Oryctolagus cuniculus: one gene and its partners. Each later gene encodes a partner of the first gene's protein in a complex. Links are inferred from orthologs where the notes say so. Each region holds a gene or a part of one and is shown in the gene's direction. Other genes may lie near its edges.

Region 1 (2,886 bases):
ACTTTGCGGGACACTCTAACCGCGGCAGCCTCTCATTAAGACTGCCGCGAGGGGCCCCTTCGGTGGATTCGGTGTGGGAGAGCGACTGCTCCCAGCTAGCATTTTGATCATACTGCACCACAGCGTGGATTAAGACTTCACGGTTAGCACTGGGGTGGTGTGGGTGCCATTATCAGATTGCATTTTCATATTGAATTATAAACAAAAATTTTATGTGACTCTCCTTCAATGGAATGTTAATAAGGCTGTGCTTTGGTGCTGTTATTCAAATAATGGGCTCTGAATTGCTTTCCGCGGAATATATTTGCATTAAAGAGGAACTCAATTTAATTTAGTTCCTAGAGAAGTTTACCCATTTTCCCGGTAGCTTTAAAAAAAAAAAGACGGGGAAATTGAGTTTCCTTGCAAGTCGAGAAGAAACACACTTGCTAAAATCTGTAGGCGCGCCAGCAGATTGCTGATCGCTCGAGTTAATGGAACGACGCGTTGCACAATTGAAAATGCATGCAAACTGCACACGTCGCGGACCCCCTGTGCGCTTTGCTACGGATCCCAGTGGCTGGGGAGTTTGCAATGAAGGCGTCTAGGAGATGCACGTTAGCGCAGCTCGCATCCGCGAGGCCTCCGAGGAAGTGGGAATGTCTCCGGGTCCTGCCCCGGGCGTGGCTGCGGGCCCAGGGCCGTGCCCGCGGGCGCCGCGTTCCCCGGCCCCCCGCCGCGGGCAGTGGCCGCCAGCCCCTCGTGTCCCGCACACCCCGGAGGACACGAGGGCGGGCGCCAAGGTCAAGGACGCCCTGCGGCTCGCGTGTCTCGACCTCCACGGTCTGCGCCGCAGCGGGCGCTCCAGCCTCCCACGCCGTGGCGGCCTCGGCCACTCCATCCACAAAGGCGCCCGATGCTAAACCTCTTAATACCGCCCGTAACCGCCCCGCGCCCGTGCGGGCCTGAAATTAGCCGCACCCTAGAGCAGGAGTTTGGTGGTCTCTTTCTAACCCGATTAACCCATCACTCCCACCAGCAGCACCGCGCCGCCCTTCCGCAGGCGCGGCTGCGCATGCCCAGCGCCGCCCCCCGTGACGCAGCACGCACGGGGACGCACGCCGCGTGGCCCCGCCCCCTGGCGCCTCGCGCCGACCCACAATCCCCGCCGCTTCCGGCCGTTGCGGCCCCCGCCCCGCTGCGGCCCCCGCCCCGCTGCCTGGAGCCATGTTGCAGAAAGCCCGGAGCCGGGGCCGGTCCAGTTCCCAGGCCGACAGGGACGGGGGCCGCGGCGCCGCCGAGGAGACGCCGAGCACGTCCCGCGGGCCGGGCGGCTCGCAGGAGGCGCTGAGCGCCCCGTCGGTGGGGCCCAGGACTCAGAAGCAGCTGGAGCTGAAGGTGGCGGAGCTGGTGCAGTTCCTGCTGGTCAAGGACCAGAAGAAGATCCCCATCAAGCGCACGGACATCGCGAAGCACGTGCTGGGCGACTACAAGGACGTCCTGCCGGACCTGCTGCGGCTGGCCGGCGAGCGGCTGCAGTACGTGTTCGGCTACAAGCTGGTGGAGCTGGAGCCCCGCAGCAACGCGTACATCCTGGTGAACACGCTGGAGCCGGTGGAGGAGGACGCGGCGGTGCGGGGCGACCAGGGCACGCCCACCACGGGCCTGCTGATGATCGTGCTGGGGCTCATCTTCATGAAGGGCAACGCGGTGAAGGAGACGGAGGTGTGGGACTTCCTGCGGCGGCTGGGCGTGCACCCCACCAAGCGGCACGTGGTCTTCGGGGACCCCAAGAAGCTGCTCACCGAGGACTTCGTGCGGCAGCGCTACCTGGAGTACCGGCGGATCCCGCACACGGACCCCGTGGACTACGAGTTCCAGTGGGGCCCGCGCACCAGCCTGGAGACGAGCAAGATGAAGGTGCTCAAGTTCGTGGCCAAAGTGCACAACCAGGACCCCAAGGACTGGCCGGCGCAGTACTGCGAGGCCCTGGCGGACGAGGAGAGCCGGGCCCGGCCGCAGCCCCAGCCCAGCGGGCCGGCCGCCACCTGCTGAAGCCCGCGGCGCGGGCGGGAGGGGCGCCCGGGGGTGGGTGGGTGGGTGGGCTCGCCTCCCCCGGCCCCTGCTGTCTGCTCCCAGGCCGCCGCCTCGAAGCAGGCTTGGGGGAGCGGCGGCTTTTGCCCCCACCCCCGGTTTAGACTTTGCCGTCGTGTTGTTATTTTGTATAAAATCTTGCTGGCTTTGTAAGACTAACCGGAGCGCTGCGTGCCGTGCCCTGGGACAGGTGTTTAAGAAAGCGCGTGAGCGCAGGACCTCGGTGCCGAGAATATAAAAGCAGAGAAGTGATTTCACGTCTCCTACCCCCATTTGTAAGGAAAATAAAGCTGTTTGCAAAGTTGACCGTGCGACTAGAACCGTCTGTCCTTGTTAGAGTAACACGCGGATTTCACAGGCTTCCTGCCCCGGGCCGCGGCCGTGACTCCGAGCGATGGCCTCCTGTGCCTCCAAGAGGGTTTTGGGCTCACGATTGTTACTCAGCTGTGTGGCTCATCGCTCAGTTCCATTGGGCGGCTTTTCTTCCCTCTAACTACGTAGCCGTTAACGATAAATGCTGTATTTTAAAGTGGTTAGTCATGCGCGTTTTTAAATCTCTTGCATATTAATGTTCATAGCGTTCTGTAGAAGTTGATGTAAAAAAAGTATTTGCGTAGCTTCACGGTGTGAAATGTGTGTCTCGGTCAGTGACCCACCTGCCTGCCGGACGGCCCAGGTGTGTGAACTGACGGGGCCTAGCCTGTGAGGTGGCCGATGCCGGCGTGAACAGGGAAGTTTACCTAAGACTCCTGTCACAGCCCCTTTGTAAAGTTATTCAGAAAGAAGATTTTTTTTCTTCTTAGTCCGGAGCTG
Region 2 (3,244 bases), on another chromosome or scaffold:
AAGTGGAGTAACCAAGACTTAACGCGAGCACTCCAATACAGGGATACAGATGTTCTGAGCAGCAGCTTAACTTGTTATGCCACGTGTTGCCCTTGCAATGAAATTTTTTAATAAGAAAGAAATAAAGAGAATAAAATCCTTTTTTCTTGTAGCTTTTTAATTGTGTGTTTTGGTGTGTATGCAGTTTTGCATTGTGTTACGTACATGAATATAAGGCAAGATAGCACTGCTTTCTCCCCTTAGTTTTGCCCATGGTTCCTTCATTTGCTCAGTATGAAACATAAGTGAAAAGTATGTTTCTTTTGTGCCAGGCACTTTTAAACTTACCTTCTTTAATCCTCAAACTATCCTCTGAAGCAGGTGCTTTTATCAACCCTATTTTACAAATAAATAAGCTGAAACTTAAGATAAATTTACTACAGGTCACTAAGTGGCAGACTCATCTCCAGATCTGATCCCAAATAAGTTTGATTACTAGGAGCTTCATCCTAGTCAAAGTAGCTTTAGTACCTTTATCAGACAACTTGACCAGATAAGGCATAAGGATAATCAAAAGTAAGCACAGGAAGGAAACCTGTAGAACTGATGACCTGTCATAGAAATCCTATTCTTGGGACTGGTGCTGTGGGGCAGCAGTGTTGAGCCTCATCCTGTGTTGCTGGCATCCTGTTTGGGCACTGGTTCTAGTCCCGGCTGCTCCTCTTCTGATCCAGCTCTCTGCTGTGGCCTGGGAAAGCAGCAGAAGGTGGCCCAAGTCCTTGAGCCCGTGCACCCATGCAGGAGACTTGGAAGAAGCTCCTGGCTCCTGGCTTCTGACCTGCCCAGCTCCAGCCATTGTGGCCATCTGGAGTGCACCACCGGAAGGAAGGTTTTCTCTCTGTCTCTCCCTCTCACTGTCTGTAACTCTACTTCTAAAATAGATAAATAAATAAAAATCCCATTCTTTAATCTAGGTCCCATTTCTTGCATGATACGATATACGATAGCTTTATCATGTGTTGTTTCTTCCAGATAGCTTTTAGTGTTCTCAGTGATAGCTGCCCCATCGCAGAGATGACTCAATATTTTCAGTGAAATTTTCTTGCCCAGCCTAGGGTCCCTGGGTGATGAACATTCTTGGCTCTTCTCAGCCTTCCCGTTGGAATGCTTTTATTTATTTTATTTCTAGAACCACTTTCTTTTTCCAGAACCTTCAGAGAAATGGGAGACACTAGAATGGGGGCAGAAACGGCAGAGAATAGTTGGCAGAGCCAGAAATAAAACTCTAGTAATCAAAGCTGGTATGGTTAAGAAATGAAATAGTAAATAAAATTATTGTGGAAGAAAAGTGGAATGTAAGTTAAAAGGTAAACCTTGGGAGTCAAAACTAACAAATTCATTATGTTATTTCTTTGTTTTGGCTCAGTCTTAGGAAAGTAAACGGAATAAAGTGGTATTTCTAAGATTTGACAGCCTACCAGAATCCTTACATTTATTGTTAACATGCTTGACATGCTTATAACACTGTTAATCTTAGACCAGTTGCAAAGTATACATGTCTTGAAACAGGTAAAAGATATGTTCACTGTATAATACATACCAGATTTCACAGACTTAGTATGAAAAAATCAAATTATCTCATTAATAACATTATGGTTACATGTTGAAATGATATTTTAGATATGTTAGGTTAAATAAAATGTACATTAAAATTAGTTCACCAATTTATATTTTTTATGTAAATTTTAAATATCCTATATGGCTTGCGTTGTTAGCACTTAAAGCTCTGTATATTAAATAGTTAGCTTTTAATTGTGATTTATGTGATTTTTAAGGTAAATATGTAACTAATTAACCTGGATATGACATTGTAATAGATACAGTGTTTTTCAAAATATGTATATAATTCTTATCCACTTTTCTTTTTAACCAGCCAAAGAGGTGTGAGGAAGACTTGGCGATTATTTTTACCTCTGTAAAAAGCAATCATTTTAATCTGAATATATTTTCTTTTCTTTTTTTATTTATTTATTTGAAAGTCAGAGTTACACAGAGAGAGAAGGAGAGGCAGAGAGAGAGAGAAAGAGATCTTCTATCTGCTGGTTTATTCCCTAATTGACCGCAACGGCCGAAACTGACCCAATCCAAAGCCAGGAGCTTCTTCCAGTTCTCCCACACGGGTCCAGTGGTCCAGGCACTTGGGCCATCTTCCACTGCTTTCCCAGGCTACAGCAGAGAGCTGGATTGGAAGTGGAGCAGCTGAGACTCGAACCGGTGTCCATATGGGATGCCGACACTGCAGGCAGCGGCTTTACATGCTACACCACACACAGCGCCAGCCCTGCTTCTTAATATATTTTCCATGTCTAAATAGATCTTTGGAGATATTAAAGCTTCTAAATAGTAGCTACTTGGTTAATGTTGTATTGCTTTAAACTTGATGGTATCACTAAATTTTAAATTCTTTTTTTTTTATTTATTTATTTTATTTATTTGAAAAGTACAGTTACAGAGGGAGAGAGAATAAGAGAGAGAACTTCCATCCGCTGGTTCACTCCCCAAATAACTGCAATGGCCAGGGTTTGGCCAGGCTGAAGCCAGGAGCCCGGTGCTCTGTCAGGGTCTCTTACCTGGTTGGCAGGGTCCCAAGCACTTGGGTCATCTGCTGCCTACCCGCGTTCTTCAGCAGAGAGCAGATTGGAAGTGAAGCAGCTGGGACTTGTCACAAGAAGCCCAACCTGCTGCATTTACTCATACAATTGATTTATTCAGTCTTTTTTCGATTGGAATGAAAGTAGCAGAGAAAGCTGTCATGTTTCATCAGCTTTTTAAATGTTTTATAGGAAGACTATGATAAATACGGAATTCGAATTAGAGTGAAATTTCGCAGCAGTACTCAACTGCATGAATTAACTCCTCATCATCAAAGTGGAGGTGAACGAAGTGTTTCTACTATGTTATACTTGATGGCACTTCAGGAGCTGAACAGATGTCCATTCAGAGTAGTCGATGAAATCAACCAGGTCTGGTGATTATTCTTTTTACACTTAAATCCTACTGTATCCTGTAGTAAATTTACATGGGCATTCGTTATTGTTGTCATTGTCCAGGGAATGGACCCCATCAATGAACGGAGAGTGTTTGAAATGGTTGTAAATACTGCCTGTAAAGAAAATACATCTCAATACTTCTTTATTACACCAAAGGTAGGTAATAAGTAACCTGAAAGTGTTCACATACTCAGAACCCCCCAGGGCTTCATCAT
Region 3 (3,518 bases), on another chromosome or scaffold:
TTCTACTTCATTTCCTTTGCCTCCCCAAATCCTGCTTTTTGGGCCTCAGGTTCCCCTGAAAAGATCGGATTAAATGAGGGAAGCAGAGCTATGTGGTGCAGGATTGGGTGGGCGCTTAGAGCGGTCTGAGCATCTCTGCATTCTGGTTTAAGACTCTGGAGTGTTACAGATATTTACAAATGACCGTTTTTTAGTTCATAAGTGTTCTGGGTCATTCTCAGTGACCTGGAACCTTTGTGCTGGGCTGCGCAGAAGCCTGGAGAAGGGGGATGTTCTGTCTTTGAGAATATTTCAGAACCGCACAAATACGGTTTTATTCATCCTTCTTTGTCTTTGAAGCTTGAATGCTTGTTACTTGAAATTTTATAACTTTTCCTTGGTGGATTTACCAAAAAAAGAGACTGACCTTGTATCTTACCATATTAAAAAAAAGAGAGAGAGAGAGGCAGAGAGAGAGAGAGATACATGTATAGAGACAGATCTTCCTTCTGCTGGTTTGCTCTATAAATATCAGAGTTGGTCCAGACCCAAGCGAGGAGCCTGGGACTTAATCCAGGTCTCCCATGTGGGTGGCAGGGACCTAAATACTTGAGCCGTCACTTGCTGGCTGCCCCATAGGCTGCCCGCGATCAGGAGCCAGACCTGGAAGCAGAGCAGGGACTCACACCCAGGTGCCCTGATACCGGGTGTGGATGTCCCGAGTGGCATCTCACCGCTGAGCCAGCCCTGCCCCCTTGTCTGTTTCTGATTCTGCTCCGAGGCAGCCTCTGTCCTGGCACCTTGATTCAAACACTGAATTTCTGTCGTTGTGTCACGTGGTACTGAACAGATTTAGTGCTGTGATGTCTCAACCCGATAAAGCATGTGTAGAGGCATGAGGCAGACAGTTTGCAATTTGTAGTTTTTTTTTTTTTTTTGACAGGCAGGGTGGACAGTGAGAGAGAGAGACAGAGAGAAAGGTCTTCCTTTGCCGTTGGTTCACCCTCCAATGGCCGCCGCTGCAGCCGGCGCACCGCGCTGATCCGATGGCAGGAGCCAGGAGCCAGGTGCTCTTCCTGGTCTCCCATGGGGTGCAGGGCCCAAGCACCTGGGCCATCCTCCACTGCACTCCCTGGCCACAGCAGAGAGCTGGCCTGGAAGAGGGGCAACCGGGACAGAATCCGGCGCCCCAACCGGGACTAGAACCCGGTGTGCCGGCGCCGCAAGGCGGAGGATTAGCCTAGTGAGCCGCGGCGCCGGCCTGCAATTTGTAGTTTTTAAAACCTTAAATTAAAAAAAATTTGTGAAGTGAAACACATTTAGGAAAATGCACACTCATCGGAGTGGCTGTATATTGGGTATTTTTAAAAATTACTGTTTATGGCCAGCGCCGCGGCTCACTAGGCTAATCCTCCGCCTTGCGGCACCAGCACACCAGGTTCTAGTCCTGGTCAGGGCGCCGGATTCTGTCCCGGTTGCCCCTCCTCCAGGCCAGCTCTCTGCTGTGGCCAGGGAGTGCAGTGGAGGATGGCCCAAGTCCTTGGGCCCTGCACCCCATGGGAGACCAGGAGAAGCACCTGGCTCCTGGCTTCGGATCAGCGCGGTGGCCGCGGCGGCCATTGGAGGGTGAACCAACGGCAAAGGAAGACCTTTCTCTCTGTCTCTCTCTCTCACTGTCCACTCTGCCTGTCAAAAATAAATAAATTAATTAATTAAAAAAATTACTGTTTATGAGATAAAGCTCTCAAAAATAAATTCCTGAAGTCCTAAAGTATTACTTGCAAAACCTTAAGTGAATGACGGGTCAAATGTCTTGCTATGAGGGTACCGTGCTAGGAGCGGCGGGCAAGGGTAGAGCAGCGCTGACCGGGCCCTCTGACCAGGCTCTGGTTGCCTTTCTCCTCTTCAGTTTGGTTGTCTTCAATAGGGTTATGTTCCCGGGGCCTAGTGATTATGGTTTCTATATGATACGGCCATCGTGACTTGGTAACTCCTAGGTACTTTACAGTATAATGTAATAAATGTGTCCTTTCATAAAAGTAAATTCAGTACAATGCATTTTCTGGAAGGTAGAATTGTTTAACTTCACCAGTCCTGCCCTGGAAGGTACTTTTAAAGCGAGCTGAGCTCTTGCTGATGCTAAGCAGGTGGGAGGCTGGCTGAAACCTAAGGTCTGAAAGCCAGCTCCACCCCCGGCTCTGTCCTGGAGCTTCTGTAGGTTTATGCTGGTCGAGCTGGCCTGAGCTGGCCTGAGCCCGGGACAGCCTGGGATGCAGGCGTCCCCAGGGGGCCTAGTTCTGGGTCTGAGTCATGTCGCTTCCCACCTAAAGAAAAGCTCTCAGTGCACGGGAGAGTATTTTCTGCCAAAAAGAAGAGACCTTGGAAAACAGGCGTTTCTGTGTGAGATGCCGTGTAGGAGGAGAAATCTGGGCAGCCGAGCAGGACCCCGAAAATAGCCTTCGCCTCTGGCACTGGAAGGGTTAGTGATGCAGATTGTTGAATGTGGTGAATGATTGCTCGCGGCTTAACTGGGGTTTTTTTGTCTTCCTTCATTTTTTGTAGCTGACACATATGGGTGTAAATCCACTAGAAGCTGAAGAACTCATCCGTGATGAAGATAGTTCTGATTTTGAATTCATAGTCTATGACTCCTGGAAAATATCAGGCAAAACAGCAGAAAACACCTTTAATAAAACCCATACATTCCACTTTCTGTAAGATTATTTTAAAAATCCGACAGACCAGCCATTTGTAAAGCTTACGCTGTTTTTTCTCGTAGGGACAAAGATGATTTGGTAGGGTGGTGGTGACAACCCTGATGCCAGTGCTCGGCGCCTTCCTACACTTTGATTGCAAAGCCCATAAACTCTCCACAGGGAGAGGAAGCTAAAGGATCCCGCGTCCTGGCTTACCATCCTTGTTTGAGTGTCTTTGAGATCTTGGGGCAGGAGGACGCAGGTGCACCTGCTGAGGCTGGCGTCAGGCGTCCCATTGGGCGGTCACTCACCTATATGTGAAGACTACTCAAGCCCTTGTCCGAACATACACTGCCCAGCTCTGTTTTTGGATACGGCCCTGGTTTTAAGACAAGTTTTTCTTGGTAGTCACGTGAAATTTTCTTCTGTCTTCCTAGCTGGGAGACCCCTGGCGGAACCAAAACCAGCTCCCTTGGTGGTTTTGTGTAAGGCAGCCTGCAGTTCCCAGTAGATGCTTCGTTCAGAGGAAACTGTCCCTCTTGTTTCCGTCCTTTCCTCCGTAACAGTCCACCTCCTGGACGTTTGTCTGTCCTGATCGGCCTCTGTAAACTTCCTGAGACGCGTGGTGTCTCCCTGGGCAGGCTTCTGTGGAAGTGGCAGGGCTGTGGTGTGGGCCAGGCCTCCGTTCCTGTCCAGCCTTAGGTCACTCGGGCTGAGAGCCGTTGCAGATATTACAAGAAAATGACCAGACCTCCTTAGGATAAAAATCCAGGTCTTTGTTATTTTGCCGTTGAGTGTTGAGGTCTGTCGTGAATCCTGGGATCTAAACATGGAGCCTTAAGC
Region 4 (3,518 bases), on another chromosome or scaffold:
GTTGCTCCTCACCTGTAGTATTCTGAATGTTTACTGTGCTCTGCTTCGGTGGGTATCTAGCAGCTGATCCTGCATGAGCCCTTGTGGGAATCATGGTGGTCGCAGTTCTTGTCATTCGTCCCCACTGCTAAGCCTTGGTACTGTGCTCGTCCCCTTTTGCAGGATCCGTTCCATGGACTGAGCTGCTTCCTCTGCCTCCCGCTTCCTTCCAGGACTTTCTGCTTTCTAACTGCACTCTTTGCCCCCTGGTCGCCTCCACGGTATCAAAGCGGATCTAAGACGCACCTAGGTCGTATCAACGTCCTGCTTAGGGACCCTTAGTTGGGAGAGTCTTCGTCTCCAGAGCTTATGGGTAAAAAATCCAGATGCCTGAGCCCAAAGCACCTTCTACCCCTGCTTCCAGAACAACCCTTGGCAAGTAGGGTGGTGCTCGCATCACTAAGCGGGGCGGGTGAATGCAGGTACCTTCTGGGAAATAAACTTGACTGCTGGCCGGGTGTGAGGCTGAGGGCGAGGAGGACCACACGGTGGTGCTCAGGTGTGTGCTTTGTGTGACTGTGTGGCCTGTGTCGTCTAAACCGGGTGATTTCACAGAGAGAAGGGCTCTGGGGAGGAAAGGAGTTGAGGGTGGAGGAAGCAGAGTTGGAGTCTGGCTTGGATTTGTTGATGTGGAGCTGCTGGTGAGATGCTCTCCGTGGTGTCCAGCACACAGAGAGACTGGTCATGGGACGCCTCTGGTTTTAGTTCTTTAAAAAGATTTATATGAGAGGCCGGCACCTTGGCGTGGTGGGTGAAGCTGCTGCCTGCAGTGCTGGCATCCCATATGGGCAGCGCTTTGAGTCCCGGCTGCTCCACTTCTGATCCAGCTCTCTGCTATGCCCTGGGAAAGCAGTGCAAGATGGCCCAAGTCCTTGGGCCCCTGCACCTGCGTGGGAGACCCAGAAGAAGCTCCTGGCTCCTGGCTTTGGATCGGCACAGCTCTGGCCATTGGGCCATCTGGGGAGTGAACCAGCGGATGGAAGACCTCTCTCTCTCTCTGCCTTTGCTGCTCTGTAATTCTGCCTTTCAAATAAATAAGTAAATCTTTAAAAAAAAAAAAAAACAACCTTTATTTGAAGAAGTTACAGAGAAGGAGAAGCAGAGAGAGAGAGAGAGAGAGTGAGAGAGTGAGATCTTCCTCTGCTGGTTCACTCCCCAAATGGCCACAACGGTCAGGGCTGGGCCAGGCTAAAGCCAGGAACCAGGAGCTTCTTCAGGGTCTCCCACTTGGGTGCAGGGGTCTGAGTACTTGGGACATCTTCTTTTGCTTTCCCAGGTGCATTAACAGGGAGCTGGATCGGAAGTGGAGCAGCTGGGACTCAAACCAGAGCCCATATGGGATGCTAGCACTGCCAGGTGGCTTTATCTGCTATGCCACAGCACGAGCCCCAAGATGCCTCTGAGGTCTAGGTGATGTTGCTGTTTAAATAAACAGTAAATAGCATTTTTGTGGATCTTTCATGTGAGTATCCCAGATTCTTGGCAAGTGTTTAGTAGCTGAATCTCATTTAAATTTCATTCTGTGCACTTAGGGTGGTTATTATCCTTGTTTTATAGATAACAAGACTGTCACAGGGTCATGCCCTGTTTGCCTAAGGCGATAGGGACTTTCTTATCAGATCAGGGTATCCCCTAAAAGTGAATGTCAGCTAGTCAGAATTCCAGGTCCCTCTGTAGTCAGTCTTCCAGGGAAGGGGCCTGGGCATCTGTATTTCTAAGCATGCAGACTACATGATGCTTAAGATCTGCACGTCTCCGTGCCGCCGCCTGTTAGCTGCAGTGCCTGCCCTGTGCTGCCTCGCCAAGCCAGGAGCAGACGCCGAAATCAGGGCTCTGTAACTCCGCTATCAGCCGCCCTCTCCGTGGTTTGTGGAAAGAGACCATCTTATCAGAGGCAACAGATTCTAAAAGTAACCCACAGTCCTGCCATTTAGGTTGACTTATTAGAGGTTCAGGGAGAGGAGAAGGAAGCCAACATGAAGAGTTTACCAGCAGTTTTGTAGGCAGTGAGTGTTATTGGAAGTTTACCAGGAGAAATCGGGCCTTGGCTACATTTCTCCATAGATCCGCTAAGAGACTGAGCCACGGTTCAGACTCACTGTTGGGTAACGGGGACAATAGCTGGTGCTTCGTTTGTGCTTACTGTGTTACCGTGTTAACTCCTCTTCATAGTGATCCTTGTGTTTTTCTTTTTACGATTTGTTTATTTGAAAGGCAGGCTGATAGAGATAGAGAGCGAGCGAGCGAGCAAGCAAGCGAGTGAGTGAGCTTCCATCCACTGGTCTGTTCTCCAAATGGCTGCAGCTGCCAGGGCGTGTTGAGGTTGAAGCTAGGAGCCCGTAACTCCATCCAGGTCTCCCCTGTGCGTGTAGAGGACCAAGCCCTCGGGCCATCCTCTGCCGCTTTCCCAGATGTGTTAGTAGCAAGCTGGATCAGAAGTTGAGCCACCAGGCTTCAAACCAGCACTCATATGGGATGCTGGCATTGCAAGTGGCGGCTTGACCCGCTGCACCACAATGCCGCCCCCTTCATAGCACTTCTACGGAGGGCATTTCTGTTGTTATCCCCACTTTACAGATCAGAAACTGAAGTACACGTAGGCCCAGCTGGCCAAGTTCACACACGTAGCAGGTGGTGGAGGTGGCTGCAGAAGCCGTGCTTCTCAGCACTGCCCAGGACTGATGCGCCTGGCCCCTGACTCACATCCTTTTCCCTTTCGTAGTGATTGGTGTGAGGTACTTTGCTTCTAAAACCCTAGCAGATTTGTCCTTGTTACTGTAGAACGCCTGCTGGTGTTGCTTGGAGCTGATGAACTCTTGCTGACTTTCTCAGTTCCTTCACAGATGCAGGGCAGTACGAGGAAGGCGGGCGTCATGACCGACGTCCACCGGCGGTTCCTGCAGTTGCTGATGACCCACGGCGTGCTGGAGGAATGGGACATGGAGCGCCTGCAGAGGCACTGCTACAAGGTCCATGACTGTAAGTGCTGTTGTGTTGATCAAGGACGAGTGACGTCGGTGTAACCGTGCAGCAAGGTAACCATCGGCCTTTTCGTCTCCTACCCGTCGTATTGCTCACCTCGCCTGCCGTTTTTCTCCCTCAAGGGAATGTGACGTTTAGCCTGGTGTATAAAACGCTGGACTCTGAAAGTGCGTGGTTACGGTTCACACCAAGGCTCCAAGCACCTGCTCTAGCCTCAGTTTTCCGTTCTTTAAAGGGGGACAGTAGTTGTGTGTAACACAGAGGGTGGTTCAGAGTTCGGAGCATGCTACATACGGAGCGGACAGATGGCCCGGCTGAAGACGCTCAGCTGGGTGTTGATCATTAGCAGGGCAGTTCAGCATGATGACTCAGGCCCCAGCCTTAGGCTCAGCCAAGCCTGGGGCGAGTGCTGGAGTCCCTGCCGCAGGCCAGCCGAGGGCACTTGGAGCATCTTGGTGGGCCTGGGAGGAGTGTGTGATAGTCTCGGTGACCATGTG
Region 5 (3,518 bases), on another chromosome or scaffold:
AAAAAAATGTTAAGGCTTTTATATGATACTAACTCCTACTGTCTCCTTCAAAAATCGTCTGTCATCTCCTTTTCCCTAAGTGAGGGGAAAGCGCAATTTAATGAAAAGAAGAAGCAGACAGTGCCATGTTCAAAGCCAGCACTACCACTCATCCTCCAGCAGTTCTCAAAACGTGACCAGGGAACCCCTAGAGTTCTCCAAGAGCCTTTTCAGGGCAGCTGTCAAGTCAGAACTGCTCTCATAATAACATGAGGTCATTTGCCTTTTTCATTCTCATTCTTTCCATGGGTGAATTTTCCCAGAAGCTGTAGGACATGTGATATTGTGGCCAATTAAGTGCATGCACAAATATCAAAATCCAACTGTCTTCTGTCAAGCCAAGCATTAAAGGTACTTAGAAAAACTGTGAAGCAGGGCCACTCTTCTCACTTGGGACAAGGGGTGGACAGGATGGTTTCTGGAAAATATGCTAACTTTTAATTCTTACAAAATATCTGTTACCATGTAAAGGGATTTTATTTTTTAAATAAATTAATACATAGTTTTTAATTCTTCAGTTTTAATATCTATCATTGGTAAATATAATTCACATGAAAAAAGTTCTTTGGAGATCCTCATTAATACCCAGAAATATGAAAGGGTTTAAGCCTACGAGCCACACACCACACACATTACCTAATAGCAGGTACCACTTAGCACTTCCTTGTGCCAGGAGCGGTGCAGAAGCACACCACCTTCTGTGTCCCTTCCTCATGTTTGCGGCTAGCTCAGGGTCTCAGAGCAGGACGGGAGGGAGCTAACCAGGTCCCCCAGTTCACACTCTGGATTACCAGACAGTATCTCCAAAAGTTAATTCTCTGTGGCTTTGAAGAGTATTTTTACTGCTCTGAGCCTCAGTTTCCTTAGCAGGAATGGGCAGAATCCTGTGCCTTGCAGAGTTCTCTCGAGAGCAGAACAATTCCGAGGCCTCCAGGGGCCTCGCACAGAGACTCATGCCACGTAGAGCCCACTGTCCTTCCATTCCTTCCGCATCTGTGGGGTGAAGGCAGGCCGAGGAGGCTCACCCGCTCCTCCTTTCCCTCTAGATGGTCTTCAGGCGGACAGAGAGGCCGACGGAACAGAAGGAGTGGACGAAGACATGATCGTGACCCAGAGTCAGACCAACTTCATCTGCCCCATTACGCAGGTACTGGTTCCTCTTTCCACCCCTGTCAGAGAAGCAGTTGGCTTCCCAGGGGCAAAATGGTTCCTGCTGGCTTTCTGGTTTGATTTCACATTTGGAGTTAAGGCGGGAGAAAAGATAAGTGATGCAGACTAAGGCATATACAGGGCAGGCTTTCCTTCCAGCATACCCTGAAGGATCTAGGGAAAAGTTCATGGCCAATGACACTGGTGCCCCGGTTTCCCTGCTTGTCCTTATCTTAAGCCTCATAGTTACCTAAGGCCATGAGAAAGCCCAGGACTAGGGGAAAGAGAGCTACTGGAAATTGATCGTTATCATTCCTGAAAGCCTAATGTCTCCTTGATTGCAGTTGGAAATGAAGAAGCCAGTGAAAAACAAAGTGTGCGGCCACACCTACGAAGAGGAAGCCATTGTTCGCATGATTGAGTCCAAGCACAGGCGGAAGAAAAAGGCCTGGTGAGTTGACGCGGGAGCGGAAGCGGGGCCTCCGCGGTGGGCAGCCAGGGCCGCTGTGCCAGAGGTCAGGCCAGAGGAAGAGACACTCAGTGTCTGCCCGAGATCACATTCGCCTCCCGGACAGTGTAAACATGGAAGCTGACTTTCTGGAAAAACCATTCAGCTGGGAAAGATTAGCAATCTGTTCAGGAAAAGCCGAAGGAACTCCAGCCACACCTTGAAACAGAAGGAAAAAGGTTGGATTGAATTCTAATCATGAGATTATAGGAGTTTTATGAATGTGTGCAATTAAAAACCTAGCCTGAAGAACATAAAGGAGAACTGTAAGACTCAAATGTGCCCTCTCTTTGTATATACACTTCCCCAAACAAGAGGGAATGTAAGTTGTTTTAAGGCTTGTTTTGTTTCGTTTTGCTTTCTGCAATACAGCTAATTTGCTTTAAAAGTATTTTAAGGGGACCGCCGCTGTGGCACAGCAGGTAAAGCTGCCACCAACAATGCCGGCATCCCACATGGGTGCTGGTTTGAGACCCGGCTGCTCCATTTCCGATCCAGCTCTCTGCTATGGCCTGGGAAAGCAGTAAATGATGGCCCAAGTGCTTGGGCCCCTGCACCCACGTGGGAGACTTGGAAGAAGCTCCTTATGCCTGGCTTCAGCCTGGCCCAGCCTCGGCCTTTGGGGCCATCTGGGGAGTGAACCAGCAGATGGAAGATTCTCTCTCTGTGTGTCTCTGTCTCTCTCTCTCTCACTCTGCCTTTCAAATAAATAAAATAAGTTTTGAAAAATTATTTTAAGTAGACACTCTAAGATGACAAGTCACATCCCCTGGCCTTGATGAATCCCATTTTATTATCAGGGGGTACTTGCCACATATTTAATTATTTAACTAACTTCCTAAAAGATTCAAGTAAACTCATGGGTGACTGATCAGTGAGGTTTATTTTAATGGAGGTTCTGAGGAATCTTTCGTGTGTTTATTCCCTCCCCAAGATCTCAAAGGACTGTGGCTCTGATTCTGTATTAACATAGAACTCTGAGTGAGCTAGACTGGCTCCGGCTTGGACTCAGTTCGGCATCTCTTGTGCGCTTATCACAGGTTTGTCTTTGCCGCAGGAATGGAATGGCAGGTGTGACCAGGTCTCAAGAGCTTTTTGATAACAGTCCCTTTGATGTGTGGTTTGTCTCTGTCGCCCAGAAATTCGCTGTTCCAGACCTCGAGTTGGAATTCCCCACCACTCCCTAGAGATTGGATATTTGGAGGCTGTAGGTATCTTAATGGTCATTCAGTCAGGTAATTTACCCTGTTTATTCTAGAAGAATAATGGTTTTGCAGCCTCGTGGTTGCAAACTCTAGCCTACATCATTCGCACGTTTTGATCTGTTTGGAGTTCCCACTTCGTAGTTGAAATGTCTCCTCCCTGCTGAACCTGTCCTCTCCTCTGTGATTATAATTTTCTGTTGTTTCTGGACTTCCAGATCTCTTTTGCAATGAACTTTTTTCTGTGTTCGTTCTCTGAAAAGCCAAAATATTGTTAACATGATTGCTAAAAACAGATATTCCTAGATAGATTTATTTGCTAGCTCTTCTTACTCCAAGTTTGTGACGTCCCCCTGTAGTCAAATAAGGAAAAGGCAGGTACTGTTACAAAGCGCATTCCTCCCCACAAGGACAAGGATATGTGCCAGTGACTCCCAGAATAGACATCCTGCCTAGTTCGATCTCCTTTATTTGTTTTTATTTATTTAAAGAGAGAGTGGAGGCCTGCACTGTGGGCTGTGGCATAGCAGGTAAAGCCGCCACCTGCAGTGCCGGCATCCCATATGGGCACAGTTTGAGACCCAGCTGCTCCACTCCAATCCAGCTCTCTGCTGTGGCCT

Evidence for each region.
Region 2: NSMCE3 (region 1) and SMC5 share a complex: the UniProt entries of both Homo sapiens proteins name them as parts of the SMC5-SMC6 complex. The link is inferred for Oryctolagus cuniculus from reciprocal best matches to the Homo sapiens genes NSMCE3 and SMC5.
Region 3: NSMCE3 (region 1) and NSMCE4A share a complex: the UniProt entries of both Homo sapiens proteins name them as parts of the SMC5-SMC6 complex. The link is inferred for Oryctolagus cuniculus from reciprocal best matches to the Homo sapiens genes NSMCE3 and NSMCE4A.
Region 4: the proteins of NSMCE3 (region 1) and NSMCE1 are in contact, whole or in part, in a crystal structure (PDB 7DG2), measured with the Xenopus laevis proteins. The link is inferred for Oryctolagus cuniculus from reciprocal best matches to the Homo sapiens genes NSMCE3 and NSMCE1. Residues at the interface, in XP_018121157.1 of Xenopus laevis: Gly57, Glu58, Val60, Gln61, Tyr62, Leu64, Ile65, Lys66, Gln68, Lys69, Val82, Thr100, Gln102, Gln103, Val104, Phe105, Gly106, Phe107, Asn123, Leu125, Gln126, Arg127, Val128, Gly130, Asp131, Gly132, Met133, Arg134, Asp136, Glu137; in NP_001083134.1 of Xenopus laevis: Ile5, Glu7, Gln10, Arg11, Leu13, Gln14, Ala15, Met17, Ser18, His19, Leu30, His33, Leu37, His38, Leu54, His57, Leu58, Pro60, Leu61, Phe62, Met63, Val84, Asn86, Ile88, Thr89, Met91, Ala92, Ser93, Asp94, Gln149.
Region 5: NSMCE3 (region 1) and NSMCE2 share a complex: the UniProt entries of both Homo sapiens proteins name them as parts of the SMC5-SMC6 complex. The link is inferred for Oryctolagus cuniculus from reciprocal best matches to the Homo sapiens genes NSMCE3 and NSMCE2.

What each region holds. Positions count from the first base shown.
Region 1 is NC_091443.1:11,538,454-11,541,339, forward strand, and holds NSMCE3 (non-structural maintenance of chromosomes element 3 homolog), read left to right. Parts: upstream 1-1,150; 5' UTR 1,151-1,206; coding exon 1,207-2,034; 3' UTR 2,035-2,379; downstream 2,380-2,886. UniProt on the Homo sapiens protein: Component of the SMC5-SMC6 complex, a complex involved in repair of DNA double-strand breaks by homologous recombination. The complex may promote sister chromatid homologous recombination by recruiting the SMC1-SMC3 cohesin complex to double-strand breaks.
Region 2 is NC_091432.1:160,105,018-160,108,261, reverse strand, and holds part of SMC5 (structural maintenance of chromosomes protein 5), read left to right. Parts: intron 1-2,822; coding exon 2,823-3,002; intron 3,003-3,089; coding exon 3,090-3,185; intron 3,186-3,244. UniProt on the Homo sapiens protein: Core component of the SMC5-SMC6 complex, a complex involved in repair of DNA double-strand breaks by homologous recombination.
Region 3 is NC_091446.1:8,987,239-8,990,756, forward strand, and holds part of NSMCE4A (non-structural maintenance of chromosomes element 4 homolog A), read left to right. Parts: intron 1-2,541; coding exon 2,542-2,693; intron 2,694-3,518. UniProt on the Homo sapiens protein: Component of the SMC5-SMC6 complex, a complex involved in DNA double-strand breaks by homologous recombination. The complex may promote sister chromatid homologous recombination by recruiting the SMC1-SMC3 cohesin complex to double-strand breaks.
Region 4 is NC_091450.1:12,350,641-12,354,158, forward strand, and holds part of NSMCE1 (non-structural maintenance of chromosomes element 1 homolog), read left to right. Parts: intron 1-2,871; 5' UTR 2,872-2,882; coding exon 2,883-3,018; intron 3,019-3,518. UniProt on the Homo sapiens protein: RING-type zinc finger-containing E3 ubiquitin ligase that assembles with melanoma antigen protein (MAGE) to catalyze the direct transfer of ubiquitin from E2 ubiquitin-conjugating enzyme to a specific substrate.
Region 5 is NC_091437.1:150,978,829-150,982,346, forward strand, and holds part of NSMCE2 (E3 SUMO-protein ligase NSE2), read left to right. Parts: intron 1-1,085; coding exon 1,086-1,186; intron 1,187-1,532; coding exon 1,533-1,639; intron 1,640-3,518. UniProt on the Homo sapiens protein: E3 SUMO-protein ligase component of the SMC5-SMC6 complex, a complex involved in DNA double-strand break repair by homologous recombination. Is not be required for the stability of the complex.